Drosophila melanogaster: one gene and its partners. The protein of the gene in region 4 interacts with the protein of the main gene of each other region in a pairwise test. Each region holds a gene or a part of one and is shown on either strand. Other genes may lie near its edges.

Region 1 (6,558 bases), on a different chromosome or scaffold from region 4:
AATACCGGAACCTTTTTAATGGGCTTCGGCTCTACGACCATCATCATCTTTTTCAAGTCGTTGCTGTACTTATAGCCCTAAAGAGTAATTTTATCAAAAGTAAATTTCTAGCGCACTATTCACTTACGTCGACAGAATGAATGAAATAATAATCGTAAAAGCTTGTCTTCCTGGCCAAATCCCTAAATATCAGACCGGCACTAACCAAGAAAAGAGGATGCAAACGCAGTGATATGATCTCTGCCCTTCGTCGATTCAACTGATATTCTTGCTTGGGAAGGTGGTAGTGTTCAAAGAGTTTTTCATGACTGTGAAATTCTCGCACAATCACAAAACCAATCGCAGTGTTTTCCCTAACAGATCTCGTAGAGATCCCACACCGAATCGTGAACACGGCGAACTCACTAAACTCATTCTCCAGCACATCCTTCATGATCGCATCGAGCACATGGAGCTCGTGCTCCAGCTCCTCCCGCTCGTTTACCTTGGAGCAGTACGAGAAGCTGCTGCTGCTTGAATTAGGAGTTTGTGTGTTACTGGGCAAGTTCCCAAGTGCCAACTTGTGCACATGTGCCACGTCCTCCTTTTCCAGTTTGTACAGACTAATCTCCCCAAAGATGGTGCTGCGATGTGTTATGAATACATCGTCCAGGCTGGACAGATTACTTGGCCGTGATGCGACTGGCTGGTGTATGAACTATTTTAAACTATTTCGTTGACTTAAACTAAGTCTGGCCTACCATAAAGTACTGCATCACCTCCAGATAGCTCTTGCTCGCCTTGTACTTCACCGACATCAGCATCATGCAGTAATCCCTGTCCGGATAGGCGCTGAAAATGGCCACCATTGCGTTGAAGAGGCGTGGCAGTGGGAAATCCTGTCGTGCCACAATGCACCTGAGAAGGAAAACGTTTGATGCCGCCGCCATGGCCGCCGGACCTGCGGGCTCCGTTCCGGCCGGATATATAAAATTAATCACGCTTTGTTCGTGCCGCAGATAGTAATCGGTGCTGTGGAGTTCTAGATAAACCCATGTTATGAACGGAGCATCCGGCATTCGCAGTACAACTCACTCTCAAGAATGTACTTGAACTTGGAGTACAGACATTCGCGCATGTAGAACTTATTTTCATTCGCCACATTTGTATCCACAATTGTGCCGCCAATGGAGCTGACCTTCATCTTACCCAGGCTGGCCACGCTGTTGAGAAATATAAATCATTGTGGATATTTGCCTTACAAATTAATAAATAATCACACCTCATACCGCTGTCAACCTTTTGCAGTCCTCCCAGAATCGTCACCGCATTCAGATCGTCGAGGGCATCTGCGGTGAACATGCTAGCCTCCGCTCTTCGCTGTACCGATCTGCAGGACAGTCGGTAAGGAATTACTCTTTCCGCACGTAAAGCCATCACTTACGACACCGTCATCGTCTCGTAGTGGAAGGACCTTCCATCCGCTGGCTTCACCAGATTGCCAAATTGTTCCATCTCGTAGTTGCGCACATAGAACATAATGTCTATATCCGAGGACAGCCACAGAAAGATGGCCATTTCTGACTCCTGCGACTGATTGATTGTTTCGGCCACAACAAGCATACTCTTCGGATTCTGTCCCATTACCTCCTCGGCAATGTAGTAGTCGCCCAGCTCCTCTCGCATTTCTGGGTTCTCGACCTCTTGCATTGCTATAATATCGTCGTTATCTTCGGCCCTTCATGGGAAATATTTAAAACAAAACAAGAATGTTATTGAAACAGTTTCTTCAAATGCCTAACAATATCTAACAATATCTTAGTAGGCGATATCGATTTCAGACAAACTGATTAGTAGTCTGCTGCTTTTTAAGAGGCATTTGAATTTAAAATTTCAAATGCTATTTCTGATATAGTATACAATTTGAACAAGGAGCACAAAGAACAGAGCTTACAGTGCCTTCCGGTAAGTAATCCTCGGCAGAATTACGAACCTATCCACAATGTACAGGGACTGTGTGTTGTTATTCTTATCCATGCTATATTCCAGCGGGTAAAAGACCTGGGATATTTTTTCCAAATCATCGAAGGTTTCCACAAAGTGGATGGGTTGTGGCACATACGGACACCTAACAGTGATCAGAAACCACACCCTGCTCTCCCTGTAGAGCACATCCTTTATGATCTCAACCAGAACCGGGGACTGATCGCTCTTGTAGACGCAAAAGTTGAAAAACAACGCATTCAGCCAGCTAATGGACATGGATAGGCTAAAGGATATATCGGAAATAGATGATATATTCAACGTTTTAAGTCCTTGTATCAGTACCAGTATCTGGTGGACAACCATTCCAACCAGCAATCCGTGGGCAAAGCGGCAATGGAGGGATAGTTACGGAACTCGGCATAGGCCACCAATGCGGAGGATTCAGTGCAAAAAGCCAATATCCTGTAGGTCTGATAGGAATTGAACAGGGAGTCCTTGCCACGAAATTTCGGACGGATATTGCCGAACCACTTGACACCTGGCGATCGAATCAGCTTGTTGAGCCCATCCTGGTCTCCCGCTTGAGCCAAGCGAATCTGAAACTGATTCATCAGTGCGAATAATTTATGTGTGTGGTGTGTGATTAAAACTAAAAAACATACTGCGTTTATAAGCTTAATTTTATTACATGACATTTTTGAGTTTTTTTAATACGTATTCTTAGGCAGGACTCTTTGTGGGCAGTGTAATTCCATCTATTTGGTAGCATTCGGCTTTGGCATTTTCGCACATATCCTTAGTTCCTGCCTTGGCAGTGCCCTCCCACCGGAAGTAGGGACACTCGTGCTTCTGATGATAGTCACTGATGCACATGAATACCATCAATAGATAGGGGCGACAGGCTCCTTTCAGGAGCACCTTAGCCCCAGGACTGGCCTTTAAAAGGTTGTAGACCCCAACAGCATCCTTGCGACAGAACTCGAACATGGCAATGTGATAATCCTTCTCCTTGGGCCGATCCACAAATGTCTTTTCTGCATCCAGCTTGACCATCTTCATGTTGATGGTGTCGCTCTTACCAATGTACTTCTTTTGCTTGTACAGGCACTCCACAAAGCACTGAAGATACAAATATTTTCGTTATAATAGATATATAAAGCTTTAATTACCTACCGATAGAAACCTCAGTGTCTTGCCGATGTCAGCGTCCCCATCCACTGGCAACTTGGGTGAGTGTATAACGAAGCACTTGACCAGGTCCTCCTCTTCTCCTATATAAAGTTCAGAACAGCAGCCAGCCCTCTAAATTGAATTTTTAGACTTAATACGTTTGCTGTTCGGTTTTAAAGTAAGCTCACCGATGTGTTACACTTATCCTCAGTCAAGTCACCTGAAGATATGGCAACTGCAGTAGTTTCCTCATTATCCTGAGCCTTTGAAACGGCCACCAGAATTAGGAACGTCCAATAACAAACAATGTTGACCATTGCTTTTCGAATGTGATTAATTTACCATGGTCATAACATTTATAAAACCATGCGTGCTCATCATTTTGGATAAATGAATTTAAACCCAAATTGGATTGCTTAATTAAATGTAACAAATGTCCATTGTAATGACTGGAATTAAATGAGCGGATAAAGAAACATTTGCAGACAGTCTGATGGCTCGACATTTGGCAAATTGGCAGCGGTTTCCTGTTTTTATTTAAACGATATGTGGGTGACTATATAAGCTGTCGTAGTGGGCTGATTTTGGTATAAACGGCGGAGCAATGAAGTGCACCATTTTATTGAGTTTTTTCAGCCTGATTTGGGTGAGTTCGAGGAATGAAATTCACACTGTTTATATATATTCAAATACATGACTTAGTTTGCTGGTGGAATTAAAATTGATTGCGAGAATACGGAGGCCATTAACGAGGACCACATCCACTATTGCTGCAAGCATCCCGATGGACACAATGATCTAATCGAAGGATGTGCCAGGGAGACCAATTTTACGCTGCCCAATCAAAACGAGGAGGCACTGGTGGACATCACGGCGGACCGAGCCATCCGAGGCACTTGTTTTGGCAAATGCGTCTTTAGCAAACTGAACCTGATGAAGGACAACAACCTGGACATGGATGCCGTGAGAAGTTTGTTCACTGAAAGGTTTCCCGACGATCCGGAATATGCCAAGGAAATGATCAACGCCTTTGATCATTGTCACGGCAAAAGTACAGAGTTGTTATTTCAGCAAGAACTTCTTGGCTAACTGATATTTTTTTCACCAAAAGGCGAAGAGAATACCTCCATGTTCCTGTCGAAGCCCCTCTTCAAGCAAATGTCCAAGCAATTCTGCGATCCGAAGTCTAGTGTCGTCCTGGCCTGTGTCATCCGCCAGTTCTTCCACAACTGCCCGGCGGATCGCTGGTCGAAGACCAAGGAGTGCGAGGATACCCTGGCCTTCAGCAAGAAGTGCCAGGACTCGCTGGCTACTTTGTGAATAATGAGAATATCATTCTTCTGCAATAAAGAACATTAAATTTACGATTTACGACATTCGAATTATTTTGTTTAGATGAAAAAATGTTATGCATTCAGAATTATTCTGTATATTTGGATGTTTTTTTTTTTATAGGGATGTAATGGTAAACAAATACGATCAACTTGACATTAGTTAATATCGTATTTTTGCAAGTGATTTGATAACAATAAATCCATTTAATTAAATGTATTGCTGAGTTGGCATTCAATCACCCACCATTACTTATAAACCAAAAGAGCACATGAATTGAGAGCCATTGTTTTGCTTTAATCATTGGAAAATCATTTCGTTTTCCCAATTAAAATGTATTTCCTGAGGCAGGACTCTAAAGTGCTTACATAGTAGTCAGCACATCCTTGCACTTCCTAGCAAAGGCCAAGGTTTCCACGCACTCGGTGGTATTTGACCAGCGACTCGCTGGACAATTGTGGAAGAAGTTGTAGATGACGCAGGACATGATGATACTCGAGGTCGGCTTACAGAACTTGGCGGTGGAGAAGGCCCTAACAATTGGAAGTGATAGGAACTTTTCGGTGGCCTCTTCAGCTAAAATTTGGAATGGAAAAATTCAATTTTAAACTATGTTGATGGTTATTTTGCATGAGCTCACATTGTGTGTGACATTTTTCGTAGGCATTCAGCATTTCAGTCGCGTACTCCGGATCTGTTTGATGGTACCGCTTGTAGTACGAGCGCACCTTGTCCATATCCAGTGTGTTGTTCTCCATCAGATTGTAGTGATCGAAGACGCACTTGGCCCAGCAGGTTCCAACCATCGCCTGGTCCACGGTCACATCCACGATGGCCTCCTCATTGGGACTGGGCAAACGAAAGTTGGTCTGCTTGGCGCAAGATTCCGTGACATCGTCGTGGCCATCCTGATGTTTGCAGCAATGGTGGATGTTCTCCTCGTGAATACGCTCCATGTGCCGGCAATGAACTCGGACAGCCACGAGTCCATTCTGCATAGAAATATGCACATATTAAAGGATTAAAAAGTAGCTCGAATACGGATCCCCGATGGACCTTGAACTTTCAAAATTATTATGTACAATAAATCCGATCTAGTGTGGATAATCCATTAAAAACACCCTCGAACATTATCCAATCCAGAACAAATTGAAAACGGTGTTATGAGTACGTACCAAGCGCAGTGATATAATCACACAAATCACGAAACCAATTCTCAGCATGATGACAGCTTTCCAGCGGTTCGTCCTCAGTTTTATATGTCAAATGGTTCCCCTTTGATGGACAGCCCTAATGGCGTTTTCCACTGTTTCGCATTAATTTAATTCGCATCCATTATTATGGCAACAAACCTGGCGACGAAAAGCGAAATTATATGGAGTGGGTGGGCTAGTGAATCTTGTCATGGCAACGCCGGCAGTCAATTTATTATTTATTTTCCAAGGCGGCTCTTTGCTCGCCTAATTAGTCAGAGATTGGCCTTTGAAATTTGATAAGCTGATTTTTGGTAGCCGTAAAAAAAAAAAACTAAATCATGGGCAAAAAGGGTAAAGGAAAAGGCAACAAATTGGCCAACATGTCCGAGGAGGAGCGGGCCAGGTATTTGCAAATGAGGGCCGACATGGAGGAAGAGACGAGGCGGCGGAAAATGCAGCTCATTTCCATGTACATGAAGGTAACACACCACGAATTTGCAGTAAATCAAAATCAAAATCCCTATGGTATGACTTTTCCCATTAAAATAGAACAAACTGAAAAGAGAGGATGCTTTTGGTCGACTCAATATGGCTAAAATCAACCAGGAGTGGCGGAGCATTTTGCGCCAGGTGAAAATCCAGGAGCTGCGCCGCGAAATCGTCGATGTGGAGTCTTTCTTTCAGGAGGCACTTAAGCGCAAGGACCAGGTGATCCATCGCCTCATTGCTCACATAGAATCCACCGAGGATATGTACGCCAATCTGCAGCAGTCACACATGGAGAATATCACCAGGATAGTTGGTACGATTGGGATAACATCCTTAAAAATAACATTTTAATCAGAAACTAAATACACAGCTACAGCAATATGTTTAAAGATACTTAAAATGAATG
Region 2 (8,486 bases), on a different chromosome or scaffold from region 4:
GGAACATGGACCAGGAGTAGGTGACGCCTTCGGTCTCGGTGTCGGTGCTCGGCTTTCCGCTGCCATCCGTGCCCGCCTCTGTGTCTGATAGAGCTTCTGTTAAAACTACATTAATCAGAGTGCAAGAGGAACGCCAGTTGGCCATATTTTTCACACAGTTTCGAGTACCAAATAACCAAGTGGGGATTAGTTGGGTTAGTCGGAAAAGAAAATAAAGAATAAACAAAGCGGCAATAGCAAACGAGTGTTAATAACCAGTATTAGCTTGGGTTTTTCTTTTTTGTACAGCGAGGAAAATGAAAAGTGAGGGCAAAGCGATCGAATGAATGCGTGATGCAAACTGTGGAAATGTGGTAATCGCTGGGAATGCGAACGGAGCACGGCGAATGGAAACAGAACACTTACCACGCTTCTCGCTATTATCGTGCGAGATCTTGGATACCTCCACCGCCGAGCTAATGCAATTGTACAGGATGCACAGCAACCAGACGACCAGTCCGATGATGTTGGTCGTATCGAAGGTGACCCTGGTGGTGTGGGTGGGCGGTGCTGCCGTGGTGGTTGCATTGCCGAATCCCTCCATCATGCCAAACATGCCTGGATTGCATTCTTTCTCTGTTGATTCAAAACAACCAAATGAGATATACACATATAGGGTTCTGGATTCATTTTCCTACCAGGATTGTTGGCCACTGCCGACCAGGTTAGATACACCGTGTACAAGGTAACCAGGGAGCTCTGCAGTAGGCCAGAATGGGGCAAGCGTTCCTGCACAGCTGGCAGAATCGAAATGACGCTAATCGCCAGACAGAATATGAGATTGATGGAGATGAAGAACTTGTTGATGCCGCAGCCAGTACTCTACAAATATAAAAACAATGCTAATTACAAAGTAAATAAGCCATAGAAACGACACTCACGGTGGTGAAGTAGATATAAAGCAAGGTAATTCCAGTCAGCGATAAGATATAGCACAAAAGAGTGACCCCAGCGAGGGCATAGTAGTATCCACGACTGTTTTCGGCGCTTTCTGTTGAAAGAATTCGATAATTAGCGAGTTGAATCATTTGGGAGATGGGCCGGAACATGACTCACCTATCCAGTTTTCAGCCAGCGAGTGAGCGAAATCCACAATGATGACCAGCTGGACGAGTATGAAGGCCAGGCCACCAATTAGACCCACCCACATCATGGCCGGACCAAAGGATCCATCCGGAATAAAGATGGCTCCAATCGCAGCGCCAAAGCAGATCAGAAATTTCAGTGGCCAAAAGTTGTTCTGGATGTGCGAACGCGGATCCCTGGAGCTCTTCACACCCAGCATAATCAGTGACATCAGAGCGAAAAAGCAGGCCATGCCAAAGCAAACCCTATATACTGCCATGTAACCAAGTGCATACTCGCAGTCGACTTGCAGAGATCCTCCCGAGACAGCGCTGAGTGCTCCCGAGCTATACGACGAGGTGGAGTTGATGCAGAAGGGCATCTTCTTCAGGGTGTCCTGCAGTCCAGGGGACAGCGCAATCGCCCCCAGTACGGTGCCCACCAGGAGGATGAAGGCGTACATGAAGCGCGATGAGGAGGCGTTGGTGCAGCTCGGGCAGGCGGAGCAGCACATGCTGGCTGCAGTGCCTCCACAGCACATGGCGCACTGGAAATGCAAGAATTAAGTATTAAATGGAGACGCAATTGAAGAATTATTCTATTTGATCCAACTTGCTAATAAGTTTTGTCAATAATCCGGATTAATTGAATGATCAACCATCGAAAGTTAAGTTTGCAATACATTTTTCATATTGTTTTCAACTTATTAAAAATTTAAAAATTCATTAAAGTATCTAATAGCTCAAATTGCAAGCTAAATCTTTCTTTTAGATGAAAATCATAGCAGCATTCATGAGTATTGTGAAATTAATAAAATGTTGAATTTCTCCGCATTTGAAACATATGTCTGCTTTTATTGATTTGTAGCCAATGTAAAGAATTTTACCTGGCTAATTAGCTCGCAATTTTCTTACCTGAGCGGCTGAACAGATGCCCAAAGCAGCTCCCATTGTTGCAGCAATAAACTTAGATTTTTACTTTAGTCAAACTGCGTTTTTATTAAATTAAACAAATCTTTGTTTGTGAAAATGATAGAGATGGACTATTTACTGCCTATAGTGACTATCGAATACAGCGGCTGGCGATATTTTTCAGCAATCGTAAGCAGTTGTAAATTTAAAAGTAAATGGGATCAATTCTTTCGCATATTTGCATTTTAAAAATGCTCTTTCAATGTCTTAAATTTTTCAATATGTTTCAAATTTTAAAATTTATAGTTTTAAAATTGAAGTAAATTACTGCAATTTTCTGTACTTCCACAGTTGCCATGCTGATTTCTGCAAAAGTCGGGAGGTGCCATCCGTTCCCTATTCAAATTTCAAAACTTCTGCCACTCCCTCCCAGATGGCGCTTTGCAGTTTCTCAAAACAAAATAGTTTGTCTCCTAAAATAAACTAACAAACGTTATAAATAAACATAAAACATTATTGAAAGCTGAATGAGAGAGAAAGTTCAGATCAATTTTTGTGAATTAAATCATAAACTAATATTATATTTTGAATTAACTTAACTATTGTAACAGTTATTGATAGAGTCGAAATAGGTAATACAGAAAAAGGTTCTATTGATAGTAGTTTTAAAAGGGTATCTGTTCAGTCAACCAGCTAATATTACCGCTCATAAATCTTTAAATGTGTACATAAATGGAGATGTTCTTAATTTTAATAAATCTAGTCGCGAAACTCGAAACTTTACCTAAGGATCGAGAAAACATTTGTTCATAAATTGAGCGTAAGCATAATGGAATATTATTTAAAAAGTTACTTAATATCATTCTTTACTTGTGTTATAAATTAGTTGCTTATAATTTAGGTTGACTCCACAATTTTAAAATTTTTACTCATATAAGTTTTTATAAAATCTATTCCTTGATCTTAATTTCCAGTCACTGGAAGTGGGTTATTTTTAGTGCATCTGCACTCGGCCGATTGCATTCGAGAATACGTTCGCACGCGGCATCTGGCCACACTGCCTGCAACGCTAGCTCGCCTTCGCAACGCGAATCCGCTCATTTCAAATTTTCAAACTCCCGAGAGCGGTTGCGGCGGTGTCGAGACAGCGGCTCCTGAATCCATCCGAATCCGAAAGCGAATCGCATCCAGCCAAGATATCCTATCGTGCAGCTGAAACCCGAAACCCGAATCCGAGTTCGAAACGAAACGAATCGCAGTGGTGGTTTCTCTCTCGCTCTCTAGCTCTCCCTCTCTCTCGCGTGTGTGTATGTGTGCGAGTGGCAGGAAAAGTGCGAAGCCGAAATCTTTTTAGCTGAAAGAAAGCGCAACTTCAATTAGCGAAAAGCAAGAGTAGCTAACAAAAAGAAAAGCGGATCGAAAAGTAAAGAAAAACAAAAAAAAAAAACAAAAGCAACAAATCGAAATGGCAAGCGAAGTGGCCCAAATACCCGCCGAGGAAACGCCCGCAGTGGCGGCGGCGGAAAAATCAGAGGAGCCGGAAAAGTCAGCGGCCCCGCCAGCGGACTCAGCGGCCGCTCCAGCTGCCGCCCCCGCAGTGGAGAAGGCTGAGGATGCCGATGGCGAGAAGAAGGACGGCGAGGCCGGAAAGCAGGACAAGCAGCAGGATGGCGAGGAGCCCAAAAAGGACGAGGCGGTGGCAGCACCCGTGGCGACCAAATCGGAAGCCCCGCCCGCCCAGAAATTCAATGTGCACAAGACCAACTTCGAGAAGGACATCATCTATCTGTACCAGTTCTCGCGCACCCCACTGCTGCCCTCCCTGTCGCCCTACTGCCTGAAGGTGGAGACCTGGCTGCGTCTTGTGGGCCTGAAATACGAGGTGAGTGGTGGTCATAAATCCGGGGAAAAAAACCATAGAAAATTCATGAAAACCTCATTATAAATCGAGCCATCATTTGGCATCCTTCAAAGTACCCAGGATAATTAGGGAAAACCCAAAAACGGACTAGGTAGAATCCCAGGAAGAGCCGAAAACTCTCAGATATTCCAGAAATCCCAGATTTTCAAGGCATTTTTGCGGTACAGATTTTTTCCCAGCTCCTGCGGGAGAGAGCGAGAGAGCTCGGGGAAGAGAGCCAGCGCCGCCATCATGGTGTGCTGCTAAGCCTGCCCGTGTGCATGTGTGTGTGTGACCTGCCCTGCCCCGTAACTGAAAAGGGATACATTTGTGCCGCCTTCCCTCTCTCTCCCAGCGCCCATGCCTGTGTGTGTGAACCTGTAGCCTGGTCCTTTGCGCGTGTGTGTGTGCACAGCGTATACATAAAATTTGTGTGTGCGCCGACGCCGCCCCTCACCCCTTCATCTCTTTGTGCTCCCCTTTGCAAAAGTCGTGCTTCAAATTTTGCACTTGCCGACTCTCTCCTTTTGTCTCGCTCCCTCTCTCGCCGTCTGCTCTTTGTCTTTTGTTGCTGCACTGTTTTTTTTTTATTTCACTTTTCTTTCGACTTCTTTTTGCACTGCACGAAAAGTTGTCATCTCTATGCGCTGCATGCATCTTTTCTTAGCATCTTCGAGATCCATGCAACTGTGCTCTCACTCCATCCACACAACAGCAAATTTTCTCTCTGTATACTTTAGCAGGAGCAGCAGCAGCAGCTTGTAATTGCTTTTAATAAAAATTGATGCAGTTTAAGCTGGACTCAGAAATAGCTGTCTCCCTCTTCGCCTTCCAACTCCCCTTCTCCTTTTCCCTTTCTTTTCTTATCCGTTAAGTAGCTGTAATAGTGTTGGGGGCTGGGTGGGGGGAGTGGCAGACAAACAACTGTCAACGACTTCCAATGGTGCCTTCCATTTTGGCTTGTTGTTTTTTCCTTCACTTTTTAAAGCGCGCGATGCGGTTTGCATATTTTTCATATTTTTTCTGTGCGAGAGGAAAAGCGTGTAGTATGTGGTAGTGGCCGGGGGAGAAATGGGTGCGGTCACCCGCACAAAAACTGGCGACGCAATTGCTGTTTAATCTTATTAATTACATTGGTTAATGAAAAACGAGCCCCTTGCGCGGAATGTTAATTGATGCCGTCGCCTTCCAGATGCCGATAAGCAATCGCCCCCATATGTTGCATTCCACGAAGCAATTATGATTGACAGTCCGTCAGTGGCCGCTTTTCGGCCCGCAGCTGGAAATTACTTTCCATTTTCACGATTATTCCCAATTCCACTGATAAGGCGCAGGCTGCCCAAAATACGGCGGCATTCGATTAGTAGGAAGGAGGGAGTGGGGGGTGGGTAAAAAAAAGAGTTCAACAAACTGGGGACCTTTGACATTTCTGGCATGGTTTGTTGTTGCTGCAGCGCGGCATTAATCATGGAAAAAAAGGGAGGGTGACTGACTGTAAATGCAACTGACTAAGCCAGTTTTCCCCCCTGCTGCTTGCGCTCGGCTGCATTTCTTGCCTGCTCTCCTCCTTTGTGTACACACATTCGTCAGTGTAAACAAGAGCAGAAGTTGTTTCTTTATTGATGATAAACCGAATGCATATTTTTTTCACACCACATTGAAGGCGGCGCCCATTAATAAGCACAGCAGCAACAACAACAACAACTGGGCATAAGTTTCGCTTTTGAGGCGGTGGCCCGCATTGCTAGCATTCCTGAGTGTCGCGCTCGTAGATTGTGCAATTAATTTACATTTTCTCTGCCATATGCATTGCGGGCACAGAGCGATTAAAATTCAAATGGAAATGCTGGCGCGCCATTGCATTTGTGCAATATTGCCGGGCTGCAATTTCAAGGTATTCTGGCAACGCTGCTGCCTCTCCTGCTGCAACTGTACATGTGCGAATGTGTGCGTATCGTATGTCCATGTGTGCGTGTGTGTGTATGTTGGGAGGAAATGGAGTTTTTTTGCTTCTCGTTTTTGTATTTTTTACGTTTTATAGCTGCCTTTGTTTTAATTAATAAACCGCATATTTGCATTTAAACAACACACAGTGGACGGCCTTTGTTGTTGCTCACTCGCTCCAGTGCAATTCTCCCGCTCTCGCTCTCTCTCTCTGGAACTTCTGTGCAAGGGTGTGGATACACTCACACTCGCACACGCAGGCTGCATAATTGCATTGCTGTTGCTTCTTCTTCTGCTGCTGCTGACTCTTACACTGCGAAAAAAATGAAAGAACAAAGATTGAGGAGACGAGCGATTGCCTTAAGTGGCATAACGATTTAATAAAACATAAGTATTTGCATTGTGCGTGGGCACGAGAAGAGGATGGAGACGGAGCCGGAGATGGAGATGGAGAAGAGGAAGCTGGCAGACAGGCTGCCTTTTTTGTGGATCATTGGAATTGAAAAATGGACTCCACCCTTTTTGCAGAGCGTTGCGTTGCGATGCTGGAAGGCGAAAATCTCTCTACAACAACAGCGCCCTCTCTTTCCTTTCACTCTCTCGCCGATTCTCTCTCGGCTCTGGCGGACAACCACACCCTGCCTCTCCCTTTTTTGGCAGAGGGCGCGAAAGCATAAAATATGCCAACGGTTGGCTCTTTGTTATGGCCCTCGTATGTACATATTTCTAATTAGAAATTATTATGTAGATTTGTGCAGCCAAGCTGAAAATGAAAAGGTTCAGACCGGACACCCGCCGCCTATAACTGTCACATTGCTAACGGTAACGCTTCGTGCGGACGTGTGTACACACTGGAAGGCATTGGAATATGTCAAAATGTTCGAATAGCAGGCAATTGGAACGACGTTTTCCCTCCCGCTGTGCGGCGTGTGTGTGAGTGTGCGTTGTATAGGGGTGTTGGTTTTTGGGTGGGTTTTTCGGTTTTCGAGTCCGGGTTTTGGGTTTTTGGGTTCCCGGGAGGTACAGCTAGCTTCTCGTGTAGTGGTTGGTTCATCAGCATCTGCTTGGCATACATAGGAAATGCCCAAATACACACGCAAACAAACGATTGCCGGCTAGATGTATGTCATGAGCGCCATCTAGCGGCCGGAATCCTTGCGGGGGAGTGAACTACATTTTGCATTAGTCATGGGCGTACAAATAAAAAAATTCCTTCCTGGTTCCATATGGACATTTACAATTTATGAGTATCTTTAGAATCTGGGTTACAGCAGAACATTTACTACGATAACTATAGCAAATAATAATTTCCTATAATCCCTCTATGCCCATGAAAATTATGTCTACAAGATGAAAACAATAGAACATAAACTCAATTGCTCAAAACTTAATTAAAACAGTAACAGTAACATAAAATAGTGACTAAAACTTCCCCAAATTGATTGTACTTGTGTGTATCCAAAATGATGGCCATGCTTTGAAAATGAACTCTTGTGAAATACGATTGCCAATTTAATGACCAACTAAGGCAATATTTGTTCTCACTGCATGAGTGGCATGCTGCCCGCAGATAAAAGGGTGGGGTAAACAATCACCCACTCCCCCACATTCCTCGCACAATTAGTCATCCCACGCAACAAGATATAAAATGAACATGTATTCTCTTTCCGGCCTTTGCAGAATGTCGATCATAAGATGCGTTTCCGCTCCAAGAAGGGTCAGCTGCCGTTCATCGAGCTGAATGGGGAGGAAATCGCCGATTCGGCCATCATCATCAAGGAACTGTCGTCCAAATACGAGAAGTACCTGGACTCGGGACTCACCGCCGAGCAAAGGAATGTCTCGTACGCCACGATTGCCATGCTGGAGAACCATCTCATCTGGATCATCTTCTACTGGCGCGCCAAGTATCCGGACAATGTGCTCAAGGGCTACAAGGTCAACTTGCAGCACGCCCTCGGCCTGCGGCTGCCCAACTCGATTCTGAACTTCTTCTTTAAGATCACCTTTGGTCGCAAGGTAACTGGATAGTTTGTGATATTTAACATACATAGGTCATGATCGTGGTCCACGATCTTCACTTTCCCCGAATTTGTATGGTTATGATTAGAATTTTCATTGGAACATTGCATACTTTTGGTCATTATCGTAATTGGTTCTACAGAAGTTGTTTACTATCATTCATACCTAATATTTCCTTAATATATCAACATCTTTTGACACATACTTCTAGTTGAACAATAAAACAAATTTATAGGTTTTATTGTTCGTAAAAGTAACATTTAATTACAAATAGCTCATACTTTGGTACAATTTTTTATTTGTACATTTCATAAATGCATATTAAACAATTATATTCTTTCGTGATCTTAAGAGTTGAAGCTTTAAGTGAATATTATTACCATTTTGTTGAAAGAGACTGTACTCTATCTTTAACCAAAAGAAATCTATTGAACTCCAGTGTTAATCGAAATCAGACAAACTAAGTGAAAGTGGAAACCGGAAGCTAGTCAAGTAGAGAAATGTTTTTAGTGTAGCGGATTTAGATGTTTCAGAAACTCAACGCCAGCAGCTGAGCCTCCAGTAGTTCCAAAAACCGGAGATATCCGCACTTTGTTTAGATTGAA
Region 3 (7,938 bases), on a different chromosome or scaffold from region 4:
TAGGCTTTTAACACATGCAATAGACAATTTTGCTCATAATATAAAACAAAAATTTTCTAAAGGTCAGATCTCTTTTCAAATGAACATTTTAAATCATTTTACAGCAGTATATAATTACACCTCTTTCCCAGTTCTGGCTATTTTCTAGCTAATTACCATGCACACTAATCTGTTGCTCGTGCCGAGCATCACTGGCGACGCAACACCGTTAGGCACGCGCAAAGACGCAGAGAAAGAGTTGAATGAACTTTCCAATGTATGGCCGTTGCGCCGCCGTGGAAAAAGGGACAGAAACCAGATTGTAAGTGAGAATTAGAACCAAAAAATCCAAACAGAACGAACCAGAGAAAGCAAATGGCGAATAAAAAGTGGTTTGGTTTGCTCAGGCTAACCTAGATTCGTGGGAGGAGAAGAGATGAGTTGCCCGACAACTTTTTGTTGCCTTTTGTTTCCATTAGATATTCTCAGTCGGAGATTATTGAAGCGGATGTGTGATATGCTGTGGCCACGCCCCACGGGCGCAGTGTTAGAACAATAACTAGAAATGTCGATAAAACGCAAAGCATATGCTGCGCACAACTTATTGTTTCCTTTGGCATTTAGTATTTGCAAGAATACAAAATTATAGCAGGTTTATGGCGACAACAATAACAAGTAGTACTGCAGTATAAGGCTATAAGGCCTTCTCGCTTGCGTGCACAGGTGCGGAAAAGAGATGGCACTTGCGTTTGAGAGAGCGCGCTCCTCCCTGCCCGTCACAAAAAAAACACAAGATGACGCGAGAGAGATAAAAACAGTTAAACAAACGATAAATTTGCTGGAAAATCAACTAAACAAATTTTCCAGGCCGCCGATTGGAACTAGTCTGTCAGTTGGCCCATTGATCAACTAGGATTTGCCGTGCAACATGATAGTCCAGATTTCAAGTCAACAACAACTGCCACGCAGACAGATTTTCTCCGACGCTTTGAAAGACCACGTAGCCGCTAAGCCGCATGAATCAGCGGGTGCGAGTGAGAGCGCGCTAGCGGCCGGCGCATTTCGCATTTTGATATTCGATTTTTGCCACATTTTGTTGAGATTTTCGTGCCTTATTTTCGATCTAAGCATGTACTTACAGAACTCGACCAGCACGAACTCGTTGTCGGCAATCAGCTGCTTGAAGTTGTCCACCGTCGCCACCAGAACACCCTCCTCAACTTTGACCTCCGCCTCGGCGGAAGCGGCCACGTAGGACGCCGCCAAGAAAAGTGCACAGATCAGGAATTTCATTGCGGGCACTCGTCGTCGTTTGATATTTATTGAATCTATTGCCCTATGTGGGTGCAGCACACTCGCCAACCAAAACTGGGATTCGAACTGCGCTGAACTTGCCCGGTTGCAAGTAGAAATTCAAATGAATTCAAGTGACAGTGAAACGCAGAGATATATACATATAAAGCTGAATTAGGTGAGGGATTTTTGGTATTTCTCTACAAGTTTCCGATAAATTTTACTAATATCGATATTTGTCAATGAATGAGCATTGAACTGTAGGTGGCGCTTGGGTGCCCAAAGGTTGGCAATCGTCGAAGGTAAATTTTTTTAGTTTAGGATCTCGTTTATATATTTGAAGTTTTATTTTTATATTTAACTAATTCAGTAATGTACTATTTTTTTTTTAAATATTACGGTTTTTTCGAATACCATAATTTTAAAATATTGTGATATAAATAGTATCGTATTGTATTGTATATAAGTTAACTTGTATTTAACATAAGGCAATTTGTAAAGGCCTTATAATTCTTCTTTTTAATTCATTTTTTTTATTAAATTTTATTTTAAATAACTTACGTCATTCTCTTTATGTCATTTACCCTTTTTAAAATAAAGACTGGTGTTGTGTAAACGCAAAAAAGACTGTGTAATTATTAATGCAGTTGTATTGCTTCTCTGTTTCATTGTAATAAAAAGTAAATATAAAATATTGTATCTTAAAAAGAATAAAACTCATTTCTTAAACAACTTAACAGCACACATGTAAATAATTCTTAAAAAGACAGATATTGGAAGAATATTTTGCGGAATTCAGGAGTCAAAAGCGACCACCTGTTGAATGCATTGTTCGACTATGCTAAAAAGTATTTCCGAAGTCTTAACACTACTAAATGGCCTATCTACAGGAGGTACATGGACAAACAGGCTTCGTTTTCTGTCCATATCGAGCGATTTCAGATAGATATAGCCGCAGAGAAAGTCACCCACATTTTTGGATGCCTTTGTGGCGCTCAGGGATTTGAGATTATCATTATGTGTCGGCTGTTGTGTGGGTCCCACACAATCGGCGCAATTCTCATTTACAACCGCCACAATCTTATCCACATCTAATTCGGTCTTCAAGACATTTGCATGTCCATTGTTGGGTAGTTCGCAAGTGCCGTTGGCCAGTTTTTTATCACAATTATCAGCTCGGCGGAACTTGTGATTGTACGCCAGCTTCTCGATGTATACACACTTGGCAACGCCCGAAACACCGACATGGATAACAAGCTGTTTTTTTTTTGTTTTTTATTTTTTTGGGAGAAAGATGATATCATAAGGCCTCTATCTATTTATGGTTCAATTGCGATGCTTACATATGGCTGGCGTTTCCAAATCTCCGCCACCGCCTCGTCCACAGCCCCGTATTCCACCGAAACCAACCGCTTTTCCAGATCATATTCTATGCCATCGTGAGTTAGGATTTCCGGCAGCAGTTTCACAGCTTCCCAGCTGGCGTTGACCGCTTCGTGACCGAGAAATGGACCAAATCCGGAGACTACAATGAGCTTTCGATCTGACGACGCCATAACAAACACCCCAACTAAACTAAACCCCCCACCAACAACAGAACTATCTTAAATACCATATGATTTCTATCTTCTTCTTCACCCTTTGAATCATGCGTTTCAAATGTTTGCGACGATGGCGGAACGGTGGAAATTGGAGCATATCGAAGTTTTTTATTTTTCGTCATTTATAGGTGAATTAACATTATTTTATATTTTCTATTTTTTTTTGAACCCACTTCGAAATAACGAAAAAATAAATAACTAAAAAGCATCCCCATTTTCAATAAAAATTTAAACAGTAACACCAAATATACTAAACGAAATGGTATTTTTCGGTATTCCCGAACCTCGCACTTTTGGGATTTTTCTTGAACGGAAACAGACGACGCAGTATGCGGCACCAAACAGAGAAATAACACATTTAGCGACAACAACAAAGGATAAATCCATTCCATACATTCCAGAGCTAGATCCGATCCAAAGGCCAGCAATCGACCCGATAAGGCGGCGCACCAGATCCGAGTTTCCGAGCAGGGGTATATAGGTGAGCACTACCTGGTAATCTAATCGCTGCGGATGAGTGGAGGACGCTCCTCTGTTGGCAGCGACGCCGGCAGCGCACCACCCTACGCACACAGGTGAACTTTGCACATTAACTATTTATTAACCTCGAACAGGTCGCCGGTGGAGCGGGAAAAAGTGGGATATCTGAACAGCAGTTGGCCTATTTCACACAGGAAGCGGATTCTAGTTGTCCATCCGGCAGAAGAGGCCTTTTCCAATCGTTAACATGCTGTCGCGCCTGCAGGACTTCTTGTCACGCCACCGGCGAAAGTTCATAGTGACCGGCGTTCTGGTGGGCGGTACCATCTTTGCGGCACGTTATGCACAACGGCGATTCGTGGAGTTCCAGGAGAAACAGGCCAGGGAATTCTTCGAGAGAACGCGGCGCACGACCCACTTTGAGTCGACGGAGAAGACGTGTAACCAGGTGATCCTAGGCATGGGCGAGGAGATGTGCCAAGCGGTTCTGAGGGAGTGCAGCACGGACGAGCTGCTCGAGCAGCTGCGCCAGAATCCCAAGAACAAGTTGGAACTTTGGGAGGACATGAAAATTGTGGCATTCACAAGACTGGCAACCTATGTCTACGCCTCCTCCATGCTGGTTATTGCGTTGAGGGTCCAGCTAAATCTTCTCGGTGGCTACATCTATCGGGACATCATGACGGAACAAAAACAAGTCACCGACGAGCTAAAGCAGCAGTATCTCTCCCTCATCCGACACTTTATCACGGATTCGGGCATCCGGGACTTAGCCCGTTACATTCGCACCCAGGTCATCGCAGTCACCAAGACCATACCGCTCTCCGAACAGCTTTCCCTTAGCGACCTGGAGCAACTGTTTTGGTCACTGCAAATGGCCATCAATGCGGACACTCGTCGGGATCCCAACTCGCGAATGAGCAAGTATCTGCTGCCCAGCCAGAATCCCAGTCATTCGCCGCTGCTGCAAAAGATGGTCAACGAGACGCTGGATCTGTTGGAGAGCGAGGATGCCGTTGGCGTGTGCTCGCACAATGTAAGCCGTGGTTTTGTGCTGGCCTGCGATGCCATCGCCGAAAGCATGGGCGAAACTTTGCAGCATCTGCCACAAGCTAAAGTCCAAACGCAGCAAGAACAGAGCGTCAAGTTTAACCAGGCAGGAAGCTTAGGCGCCAGCACCTCGAAGAGCCAAAACGGTCTGGAGAACAATAACTTGCTGAACATCAACCGAGTGCTGTTGGCGTTGGCAAAGCTCATTCCTATCATCAGTGGTCTCACCTCGAGAGGCTTCGATACCACTTCGCGACCCCACAATCTGCCCACCCAACTGCTAACCTTCTACGTGGTCGCCGAGAAGACAAAGACGCTGGGGGCCAACGTCTACGAAAGCTTTAGCTCCGCTTAGAGGATCAACAAAACTTGGATTATGCATCCGTGCATAGGCTAGGCTAAGACAATTGGAAAATTATAGTTTATATACTTGTATATTTTTAATAAGATCTGTATTCTCAGAAGCATTGTTTGTATGTCTGCTTGAACCCAACCCGTATTAGGTTTAGCTTCGTCCACGGGGAATCCTTTCAGGGCAGGGACACAAATCGAGTAACGTGAAGGCCTTTTAATCTAAATGGAAAGTTAGGAAATGCAACATATGAGAGAATCATATAGGATGGACCTGAGGGTAGTTTAGTATCCAAACTATATGAAAATGTAATTTAAAGTGTAATTGATTAATAGAATGATAAGTGACAGATTATTTATTTATACCATGCTAGAAAGCTTGGGTCTTAATCTTAAAGGAAGTGTAAACAAATGGCAACCTAATAAACTATGCATTCCCCGTATTTAAAGACTATTATTTTGCATATTAAAGTTTTTGAAGGAACTTATTCTTTTTATTCTTACAGCTAATTAAAACAGATATTGATTTATAGAATGATAAATTATACATGCGTACATAGGTGCATACTTGTATTGAATTAATAAGAAATAAATTCAATAATTATGTCGGAGATATACGAGATTCTTATATACTTTTTCCTCCAAGTTTCTAACAGTTTGCGGTTTTAAATGTACATAATATATTAATTTAGTAACGGAGCAACGGTTATCTGATAATCGGGGAACTCGACTATAGCATTCTCTCTTGTTATAAATGCTTAATATGTATAAAAATATAAGAATTGAATTATCGAAGACACAACCCACAAGTAACGGTTGTCTTTGCTATCAGTCAAAAGGGGGTGGCAGAAAACCGCCCTGTGATAAGACAGCTGTGTCTGTGGCTTTTGTTTGTTTGCCATTTCTCTTGTTCTTGCCGCTCTCTCCCTTGTTCACTCTCTTCAAGCACTTGCGCAGAAATGCCGCATGTGCGAAGATTCATTATAATATAACAATTATGAATAACTATCAAGCAGAAAGTAACTTAAAAGATTTCATAAATTGAACCAAGTTTATGCTTAAGGAGGTGAAAGTAATTAGATACATTTACATCACGCTCGCCCCTCTGCGACTTGTTCGCTCTCGCAGGACTCTCTCTTCACATCCGTCTCTCTTACTCCTTCGGGTGCCCAGCTGTCTGGTACAAAATTTCCATTTTGGGCGCAGTTGCAAAAGTTACGTGAAAAGGCAAAGGACAACAGTTACTTTTATACATCCCTGCGAGACTTTGCGTATGTGTTGGTGTAAAAAAAATAATTAAATATACAAAAATGAAAGAAATGCATTGAATAACTGATTCGAAGCCAAGTTAAAACCGAGTGTGCAAATATGAGAAATACTGCAAAAAGTACACAAATTGGAAAAGCCAGCTAAAGGAGGAAAGCCCACCGTCAAACAAACAAACAACAACAACGGCGGCTCAATTGTGTAAGTGCACTTGCAAAATGTTTATTAACCAGTCGATGGGGCTAAAAGCCCACTTAGCCCATCAACTTTTTACTAGCCGACCACAAAATATATTGATTAAGACAAAGAGAAAACTGAACATGAAAATCAAAAGGCCACATGAGCACATGTGAGCGAAAAAGACAGACACAGCGGTATATTGGTAACGGGACAGACAGTGCGTGCGTACAGTGGTGTGGGAGGGGGCTGCAAAGGCGGTGGTGTGGGGGAAAGGCAGTAACGGCAGTAACGGGAATACCACTCTTATAAGGTCTAAAAATATCAACACTTTATTATTAGCAGGGCCACAAGTGAGCAAACTAACTAATTGCGAAGAAACAATCAAATACTACTCAAAGGCAGCTCCTCGAAACGAGTGCTCAAGAAATAATGGTAAGGCACTACAAAGTACCCTTAAAAAAGTCATGACAGTATCGAATTTGGTATAGGCTTTAAATCTAAAAAATTTAATTAAATGAAATCAAAGGATCAAAAAGCTTTTTCAAAATCTTAAGGATCAAATAAAAGTTTTCCAACTGGCATAGGTTTTAATAAAGGTTAAAAGTATATATGCACATCTAATAAAATTAAAAAAGGTTCGAAAACGAATTACAATTTTTCTTATTTTTTATTTCTTGACAAATTTAATTGGCTTTCTTAATCCAATCACTTATGTCTATCCATCTTGAAAAATCAGAAAATACGCTATTCGTCGAAAAATGTTGAACAAATGCAGAAAGCATTAATAAGATTGGAAAAATTTTAAAGAAATAACCAATTTATATATATGTATGTATATATATTTCGGATTCAAACAAATATTGGGTATATCAAAGCATAGTACAGCAAATCATAACATGTCCTTCAACAAAGAGTATTAACTTGTAGCCAAGAAAGTCAAGTGCGTCAGCGTGAAGATAACAAAGAAATGACATTTTCCCCAGCCAAAGTCCGTGTGGGAAATTCGAGGAAAACAATGCATGCAAGTCAGGCAACCCCTGCACCCATCACCTTTTTACCACATTCCTCCCCTTTAGGGTGCTTGGGGTCCTATATTGCACAGTATATATAGGCATATTGACATACTAAGGGCGTAGATCAAGTGCCATGTGACAAGGGGCCACAGCACCTAACTAAATATAAACACATAAATTAAGGAAGCGAAAGCAGGACACGACTCAAGCTAAAGAAAAGTGCGTCATGGGTTTTCCGTGGAAGGCAATTACTTGGCATACAAAGGACGTTTTTTAGAATTCAGGTAAATTGGTTAGTTAGGAGCCTTAGATTGCATGGAATGAAATTATGAAATTGAAATGGTGTATACTCTAGAGCAGTTTTAATATTATTATTAGTCAATTTTATTGAGCAATAAATATATTTTAAATATTATTATTATCTGTGATCAAATAAAATATTATTCAATTAGCGGGAGGTACCAGAAAAAATCAACACATTACTATATTTACTAATTCGCAGTATTTGCATTTCCCATGAACTCAACTGATAAGAAGCATAGAGTGAAATATCGAATAGTGGAAAAGCCGGGGAAAATGGTTTAGTTTACAGCGAACCGTTTATGCATAAGCACATAGCAAATTGAATCGGTTTGAACTTCGAATGCGGATAGTAAACTGTTTGGAGATTTTCAAAGAACCCAAAACTGCGGTATAATCAACCGGGTAAAGTGAAACGTGAATAA
Region 4 (6,888 bases):
GACTATTAGATACCCTTTGCTCACATAGTTAAGCGCTATATGGCCTTGCATATTTTTGACAATTGGCTTTGACCCGTTTCGATTATATTTATTTCTCATCTAGAACCCCAACCGGAAGTACCACATTGATAGCACAACTGATCATCAAGATGCTGATCAACGCAGCCCGTTCCACTTCCCCAAACATAATCCCGAAAGAGTGGGAGCCTCAATTCCCCCATAGATCCAATATGGTCAATCAGTCAACCCAGACTAAGTGTGCGCCATGGAATATGGTGAATGAGTCTACCCAGTGATGCCAACATTCAAGTTCGCCTGATCGGAACGCTGAAAGGACTAGAGCGTCCTTTAGACAAGAGATGACAGGAAGTAATGGCCCTTCCTCGGGACCTCTTATTGGACCAAGACACATCACATTCCGCTCAAGATGACAAAAGGGAAAGCCTTAACCTATCTATAAAGGAACCGACTGCATATTAGCATTGGCCACATTGTGGCGATGCGATGGACTACATTTAGGATACCCAATCGAAATAAAAAGGGATATGTAGAAAAAAAACTTTCATATTCAGAAAAATGTCTTTTTTATTGGAAAGCTGATTGTTTGTATGCCAACCAAAATAGGCAGAATAATGAATAAGTCATATACCCGTCACTCGTAATATATATGCGTAATTTTAACCATTAAAAACTGAAGGGACACCATTGTAATTGCAGAAGCAAAATCTGTTCTGTTACACATTCAGGCATCATCATACCTTAACTCGCCGATATGTATGTACATATATATTATTTACTGCCTAACGTTCTTCAGACAAATGGTTATGCAAAGCGAAGATATTTGGGTATGTTTTGTGGACGCAAGCTTAAAGTGGCACCCGCATTTCTTACCTTGCACCTACCCCACTCCCTTTGCGACCCACGCGGCGTATGAGGAATGCGAAATTGCTCATACCGCCCGTGGTCCCGCATCTGAGCAACTGGGTGACAGTTGATTTGCCTGTCGGCAATGGCAGTTTGGAGCCCAGAGTCCGGAGTCCGGAGTCCGTCGTCCGGAGCACTACAGGCGGCACTGCGGGCACTGCAATTACGGCGACTGGAGATTTTTCTAAGAAAACCGCACAAGGCGACGACGGCGACTGTGGCGCCAGCATTCCAAAGTAAATTACAAACAAAAATGTTGCAACGAAAACGAAAACGGAATCGCACGCGGGCCCCAAAAGCGGAAACCACAACAGCCAACAAAAATGTAAACAAGGGCGCAGAGTCGTTGAGGGGAATTTCTTCGTTCTTCATTCTGTGGCGGAAAAAACAAAGATCCAAAAGAAAAGGGCAGAAAAAAATCAAATTGAAAATGAAATGCAGGAGTGTGGCGGTTCAAGAGCTTTGGCGGCCAAGCGACTGACGTCGTCTCTCAGTCTTTCAGTCCTCCAGTCGCCAAGGAGTGAACATCCATCCACCACCAGCACCGCCCCAAGGAAGCGGGCCACACCACCCCGCTTCCGTGGCCTTGCCTTGCCTTGCCTTGCTTATGCAATTTGGTATGTGTTTCCCAAGAAACCTTTGTTGCATTATTGCCGCAATTTGCTGAAGTGGTGACGTGAGAGCCATCACAGTGCTGCGTCCACGAATATTGCCCCGTCCCTTTCCTTCTCTGCCCTCCTGAGTCCCTCGTCCTGAGACCCCAGTCCTTCGTCCCTCGTCCGTCGTCCGTCGTCCTTCGGCCCTTGAACCGCGTCTTTTTCGCGCTGCCCCTTCAGCCAGACAGCGAACAAATAACAACTAAGTTGGCAATTTGAAGTCGCGCGAGTGAGTGAGGCTAGTTAGCCGCAGCACACCGAAGTCTGTATACCCTTGACATGGTTTATGGCTTATATAGTAGTGCTATATTGCTTATTCCTTTCTCATTGTAGATTTGTAATTCATATCCCCAAACTACAAATCCCTAGTGCCTTGTATTCAATGATAGTTGGCTCAACCAATTTCAAATGCTGATTCATCATCTTGGCTTTATTTCGCGAACCGATCAAATTTAAGTTTTAGCAATTAGCCCTCAGTGAGTGCGTAGGTCATAAGGGCCAGGATGCCGGTGTTTCCCAGAGTCTCTACAACGTTGCTAAGGCCCTCGTTGCAGCTATCGACAATTGCACCGCCGTATCTGGCGAGGAGCGCGGTGGCAGCCACACCGAAGTAGATATGGTTGCCGTCCTTGATGGCCAGATACAACGTGGAGCCGATGTTGCCCAACAGAGCGAGGTCCATCAGCGTCTCCGTGGAGCTGTCCCAGTCCTCGCTGATCTTGCCGATCATGTCGTAGAACAGTGGAATCAACGACAGGCCGTGCACCAGCGCCACTCCCGACTGATCGGATACCAGGTAGAACTCGATGTTCGCCAGTGGCAGCGGGATAACCTCCAGTATGATGGCTGAGATCATAAAGGTGCGTCCGCACTCGTCGGGCTCGTTGGCAAAGGAGCGAACCACGCCCAGCACTCCGTGGACCAGGCTGAAGGATGCCGCCAGGAAGGCATACGGATGGTCCGCCGGGGTCAGTGAGGTCATCGTGTAAATGCAGGCCAAGATCAGCAGCAGATTGACCAGTGCCCCCACCACATGCATTTTCGGCGCTTCTCTTCGTTCCTTCGAGAATTCTATCGATTCTGTCAGTCTGGTATCACGATATGCGATTTCACTTATTTGTTACGAACACAGGAACTAAAAATTTTGAAAGTTGCTACCTTGAGACTGGGGTCTGGAATGACTGAATCCAAATGACTCCCACTGGCAGAACATTGAAGACCGAGTCCAGGCCAACTCTGTTTAATCGATTTATCAACTCAGTTTTGCTAGATAAATGTTTTGAGATTTAAAATGGCCATATCATAAGCAATACACAAATGTATCGGGTTCTCGTTCTTATTCAAATACTTATACCTTTTACCTTTTACGACATACAACATGAGAATTAAAATGGCTACAAGGACTAACAATCCTCATTATGAAGTATGCTTGCATACCCTTCCTTCGTTGCAATCATTCGTTGTCTAATCCAAACCCACTTCAAATCCCGAAGTTCCTGAACCAAATATAACCAATAACCAAGCCAGTGCAGCCAGTATGCCAAGGGGACAAAGGCTGCTCATCGCCAAAGTGGCTAACGTTGGCCACCTCAGATTACGACCAGGGATGGATGTCGGCAGGGTCACTGAGTCACTCCCGGCTGAGTGGTTAGGGAGGCAGCATCAGAACATCGATCACAACACCTGAACGAACGCAGTATATAAATAACCAATCTGGATTTTGATCCGCACAAAGGACGGGAGTGGTAACCCCCAAAATCCCGAGCGCCCTTTTCGGGGCTCCAACGCTTCAATAAAACTGCAAAGTGCCAATTACAAAAATAACAAGTTAGCCCCAAAACTTATGTTGGCTTTCCGACTTGCCGTTGTTTCTTTTGCTTTTTTCCTTTATTTGCCCCGATGCATTATTAAGTTTATACCAAGAAATTTCCCGCACTGCATTGGACGTGTGTGTGTGGTTGTGTGTGTGTGAGAGAGAGTGGCATTTAGCTGGCAAGGACATTTTCATGGTTTTCCAGTCAGAGAACTGCAAGGGTGGCACTTTTTTACCACTCGACTCACACCCTACAATTTTGTGTGCGGGTGCTACTCGCCACGCACATCGCGGGTACTTACAAACACACAGTATAAATCTGAACATGCAGACAAGACACCCCGTTGTGTGCGCACCCGAATCAATACGGTGTTTTGCGTCGCGGGTGCCGCTCACACAGTGCCTAAAAAGGGATGAGTGAGAAAAACACTTGTGGGTATACCGTTAAACACATGGGTGTTTCCAAAAATACTCGGGTGTTTCCAAAAATACTCGAGTGGTCTCGTAGGTAGTCGAGTCAAATGGCGCCATACATAATGATTGTTGAGTTCTTGTGTCTTTGGTCCAGTGTCTCGGCTGTTAATTGCCCCTTTTTTGTTTTTTACGATGCAATTACTAGCTTGTTAGGATTCAGTATTATTTGGAAGCCAAAGGAAAAGGTCACAATAATGGCAGAAGCGGCTGATTTCGTTAAAAATAAAATTAACAATGGAACATACTCAGTTGCCAATAAACATAAAGGAAAAAGTGTTATTTGGAGCATTTTATGTGACATTTTAAAGGAAGATGAAACTGTTCTGGACGGATGGCTGTTCTGCAGGCAATGCCAGAAAGTGCTCAAATTTTTACACAAAAACACCTCCAATTTATCCCGCCATAAATGTTGTCTAACATTAAGACGACCAACGGAATTAAAAATTGTTTCGGAAAACGACAAGAAAGTAGCTATTGAAAAATGCACCCAATGGGTTGTCCAAGATTGTCGGCCGTTTTCTGCAGTAACCGGAGCCGGATTTAAAAATTTGGTGAAGTTTTTCCTACAAATCGGCGCTATCTATGGGGAACAGGTAGACGTCGATGACTTACTACCTGATCCAACAACATTAAGTCCTTATATTTAATAGATACTTTTTAAGCCCACTATGTTTTTATTATTTAGATTGAGACATTAAAAAACGTAAAAATCAACAAATGCCGTCTTTAATTGCAATTACTTTATGTGTTTGAAATGGGAGGCACCCATTGAGTCCATCAAAGAGCAAAGACATGAGCACAAAAATTTTCTTGGGTATTCCCTTTTACCCTTCATTTCTTATACCCGTCACGCTTCCACCCATACAAATTTTAGGCGTACAAAAAATGACCAGAGAACTGCAGCCCGCATACAAAAAATGACCTGCGGCCGATCGTTGACTGTGCGTCCACTCACCCATACGGCTCTTGCGCAGCAGGCCTCGGGTGGTTTTTTTACTCGTAACAAAAACACAACGTCGGTAAAACACTCGAGTATTTTGTGTTGCCGCAAGTAGGGTGTCAAAAAAAACGGGGTGCCTAGAGTACCGAGTGTTTATCGGGTGGACGTAGAGTGCGAGTGGCGGGCTGCAGTTCTCTGTTTCCAGTTCCGTTTCGACAGCAACTTTTTCGTAGCATACTTTTGCCGGCGCATTGATTGGCCCCGAGCATTCGTTGGACTGGCAGCAGGAGTCAACTAGCAGCTAACTTGATCCATCTGCAGGCCTCCAGCCAAAGTGCAGGATAGTACTGAATGGATAGTCCTGAATGGATAGTCCTGAATGGATGGTCCTGGATGGTCCTGGGTGCTCCTTGGGTGGTCAACTCAAATTGACTGCAGCTGGGTCCACAACACGAAGAACTTTTGCCATCGCACCCCAAAAACAATGCCGACCAGTGCCAACTTGTATTGCCGGTGGTTTAAGTTCGGGGGTTCGGGTTTTGGTGTTCTAGGGTTGGGATTAGGAAAAGGGGTAGGGAGAAATATTGACGGGGCCAAACTGTGGCATGACCAACGAAAATAATATGAAATAAATTCCAATAGAGCAGCCGAAGAAGAATGAGAAGTTGAGTGGGCTCGAGCCGGGGCCAATTGGGGATTGGGATTGGCCGAGATGAGTGGCTGGACAGGACCTGGAGCAACTGAGCTGGGGGGGTGTGTGGTGGTGTGGAGGCTTTTGGGGTTAGGCTTTAAGAGCGGACTGCAAAAGGACCGGCGAACAACAAATCCGTACAAATTGAATAAGAACTCAATCTTTGCTACTGTGCGAACAACTTTCTTGGGCGGCCAGCAGGACGAAGAGTCCTGTGAACAAGGCGGAATGATAAAAAAACACAAGCACACACCCAAGATGCGGAAAAACAGAAAGTACAAACGCAGTAGTGGAAATGGTTCGCCATGGAGGCAACTCTCTCCGGACTCAGGAATACTCCCTATTGATGTTGTCCTGATGTAAGTCAAATTCATATTGTTGTCGGATTTTAAATATGCCTTAAAAAATACCTTTAAAAGAACTTTATACATTACATGCAAAAATATACCCTCTTTAAGCGTTATTCGAATTGAAAATCACGAAAGACTTATTTCTTTAGACTTGACACAAGGCAATTGAACACGGCCGAAAAGTGCACAATTGATGGGTATTAAAGGGAATTGAATTGAAATTCCTTGGCAATTGTTTGTGTATCATTATGGTCATCATCAGTGCCCACGACTTTGTACTGAGTGTGTTTGATTGTGCCCGCTGTTATTATTATGGCTATCGATGCTCCCCGATGGATGGATGGGCTTGGCTTTAAAGCCGAGCCAACTTCGTATCGCCGGCACGTAGCCATAACCTAACTCAAGATCGGACTGCTTTAAGGTCGCGGGCTTGGGTGATTTCGGCATGGGTTCGGGCGGATTCAGGTGGCTTTCTAGGTGGGTATGGAGCCAGCACCCATCGATTGATTTAGCATTTGGGGTGTTCGGCGTTTGGCGTTTGGCACTCGGCACTTTGGCGGCTTTGTCGGCCTGTCGACGCACGCGGCACTATTAATTATCATGTTAAAATGTAATTAATTAAAGATGTCGTCAACGTGCGTTTGCACATAACTTTCAATGAAAAGTTAATAAATTACGTAGTGCCGAAAACGAAATTACAAACGCCATCATCGAGCCACGACAGCCGCAGCAACAAAAGCAGCAAAAACGCGGTCCACAATGATAACAAATCAAACGAAAATGTTTAACCTGCCCACTGACGTATCCGTATTCCCCTGTCCGTGTCCGTATGTGTCCGTATGTGTCCGTTCGTCTGTTTGTCCGTTTGTCCGTTCGTCGGGGTGTGGAAGGTGGGGAAAAACCACAGCAAAACAAATTAATAAATGCATAATAAATATGCGTAATAATAATGACTAAAGAAAAATCAGAAACAATAAATATTATTTGAGTAGTGTCGACCCACAAACCGAAGGCAAACAGCGGAATTAAAGGAGGATGGC

The links.
Region 1: the proteins of CG12679 (region 4) and Obp58d interact in a two-hybrid assay, tested with the Drosophila melanogaster proteins (one large-scale study listed by BioGRID).
Region 2: the proteins of CG12679 (region 4) and fax interact in a two-hybrid assay, tested with the Drosophila melanogaster proteins (one large-scale study listed by BioGRID).
Region 3: the proteins of CG12679 (region 4) and Pex3 interact in a two-hybrid assay, tested with the Drosophila melanogaster proteins (one large-scale study listed by BioGRID).

What each region holds. Positions count from the first base shown.
Region 1 is NT_033778.4:22,703,842-22,710,399, reverse strand, and holds Obp58d (Odorant-binding protein 58d), read right to left. Parts: upstream 3,467-6,558; 5' UTR 3,453-3,466; coding exon 3,324-3,452; intron 3,268-3,323; coding exon 3,139-3,267; intron 3,085-3,138; coding exon 2,686-3,084; 3' UTR 2,628-2,685; downstream 1-2,627. Other genes in the region: CG30275 (uncharacterized protein), read right to left, coding at 1-77, 128-685, 741-1,021, 1,075-1,202, 1,262-1,369, 1,424-1,717, 1,934-2,248, 2,308-2,576; Obp58c (Odorant-binding protein 58c), read left to right, coding at 3,740-3,781, 3,838-4,186, 4,247-4,455; Obp58b (Odorant-binding protein 58b), read right to left, coding at 4,832-5,043, 5,108-5,459, 5,643-5,690; CG30259 (uncharacterized protein), read left to right, coding at 6,002-6,142, 6,213-6,465.
Region 2 is NT_037436.4:16,406,413-16,414,898, reverse strand, and holds the start of fax (failed axon connections), read left to right. Parts: upstream 1-3,070; 5' UTR 3,071-3,480; coding exon 3,481-3,897; intron 3,898-6,449; exon of another isoform or gene 6,450-6,562; coding exon of another isoform or gene 6,563-6,571; intron 6,572-6,735; exon of another isoform or gene 6,736-6,792; intron 6,793-7,539; coding exon 7,540-7,878; intron 7,879-8,486. Other genes in the region: Serinc (serine incorporator), read right to left, coding at 1-96, 406-615, 678-861, 921-1,030, 1,096-1,651, 2,019-2,054. UniProt on the Drosophila melanogaster protein: Together with Abl, involved in embryonic axonal development.
Region 3 is NT_037436.4:15,141,182-15,149,119, forward strand, and holds Pex3 (peroxin 3), read left to right. Parts: upstream 1-3,173; 5' UTR 3,174-3,368; intron 3,369-3,487; 5' UTR 3,488-3,600; coding exon 3,601-4,758; 3' UTR 4,759-5,198; downstream 5,199-7,938. Other genes in the region: Pdi (protein disulfide isomerase), read right to left, coding at 1,119-1,272; CG32147 (uncharacterized protein), read right to left, coding at 2,068-2,529, 2,616-2,828.
Region 4 is NC_004354.4:20,373,774-20,380,661, forward strand, and holds CG12679 (uncharacterized protein), read right to left. Parts: upstream 2,750-6,888; 5' UTR 2,620-2,749; coding exon 2,047-2,619; 3' UTR 1,991-2,046; downstream 1-1,990.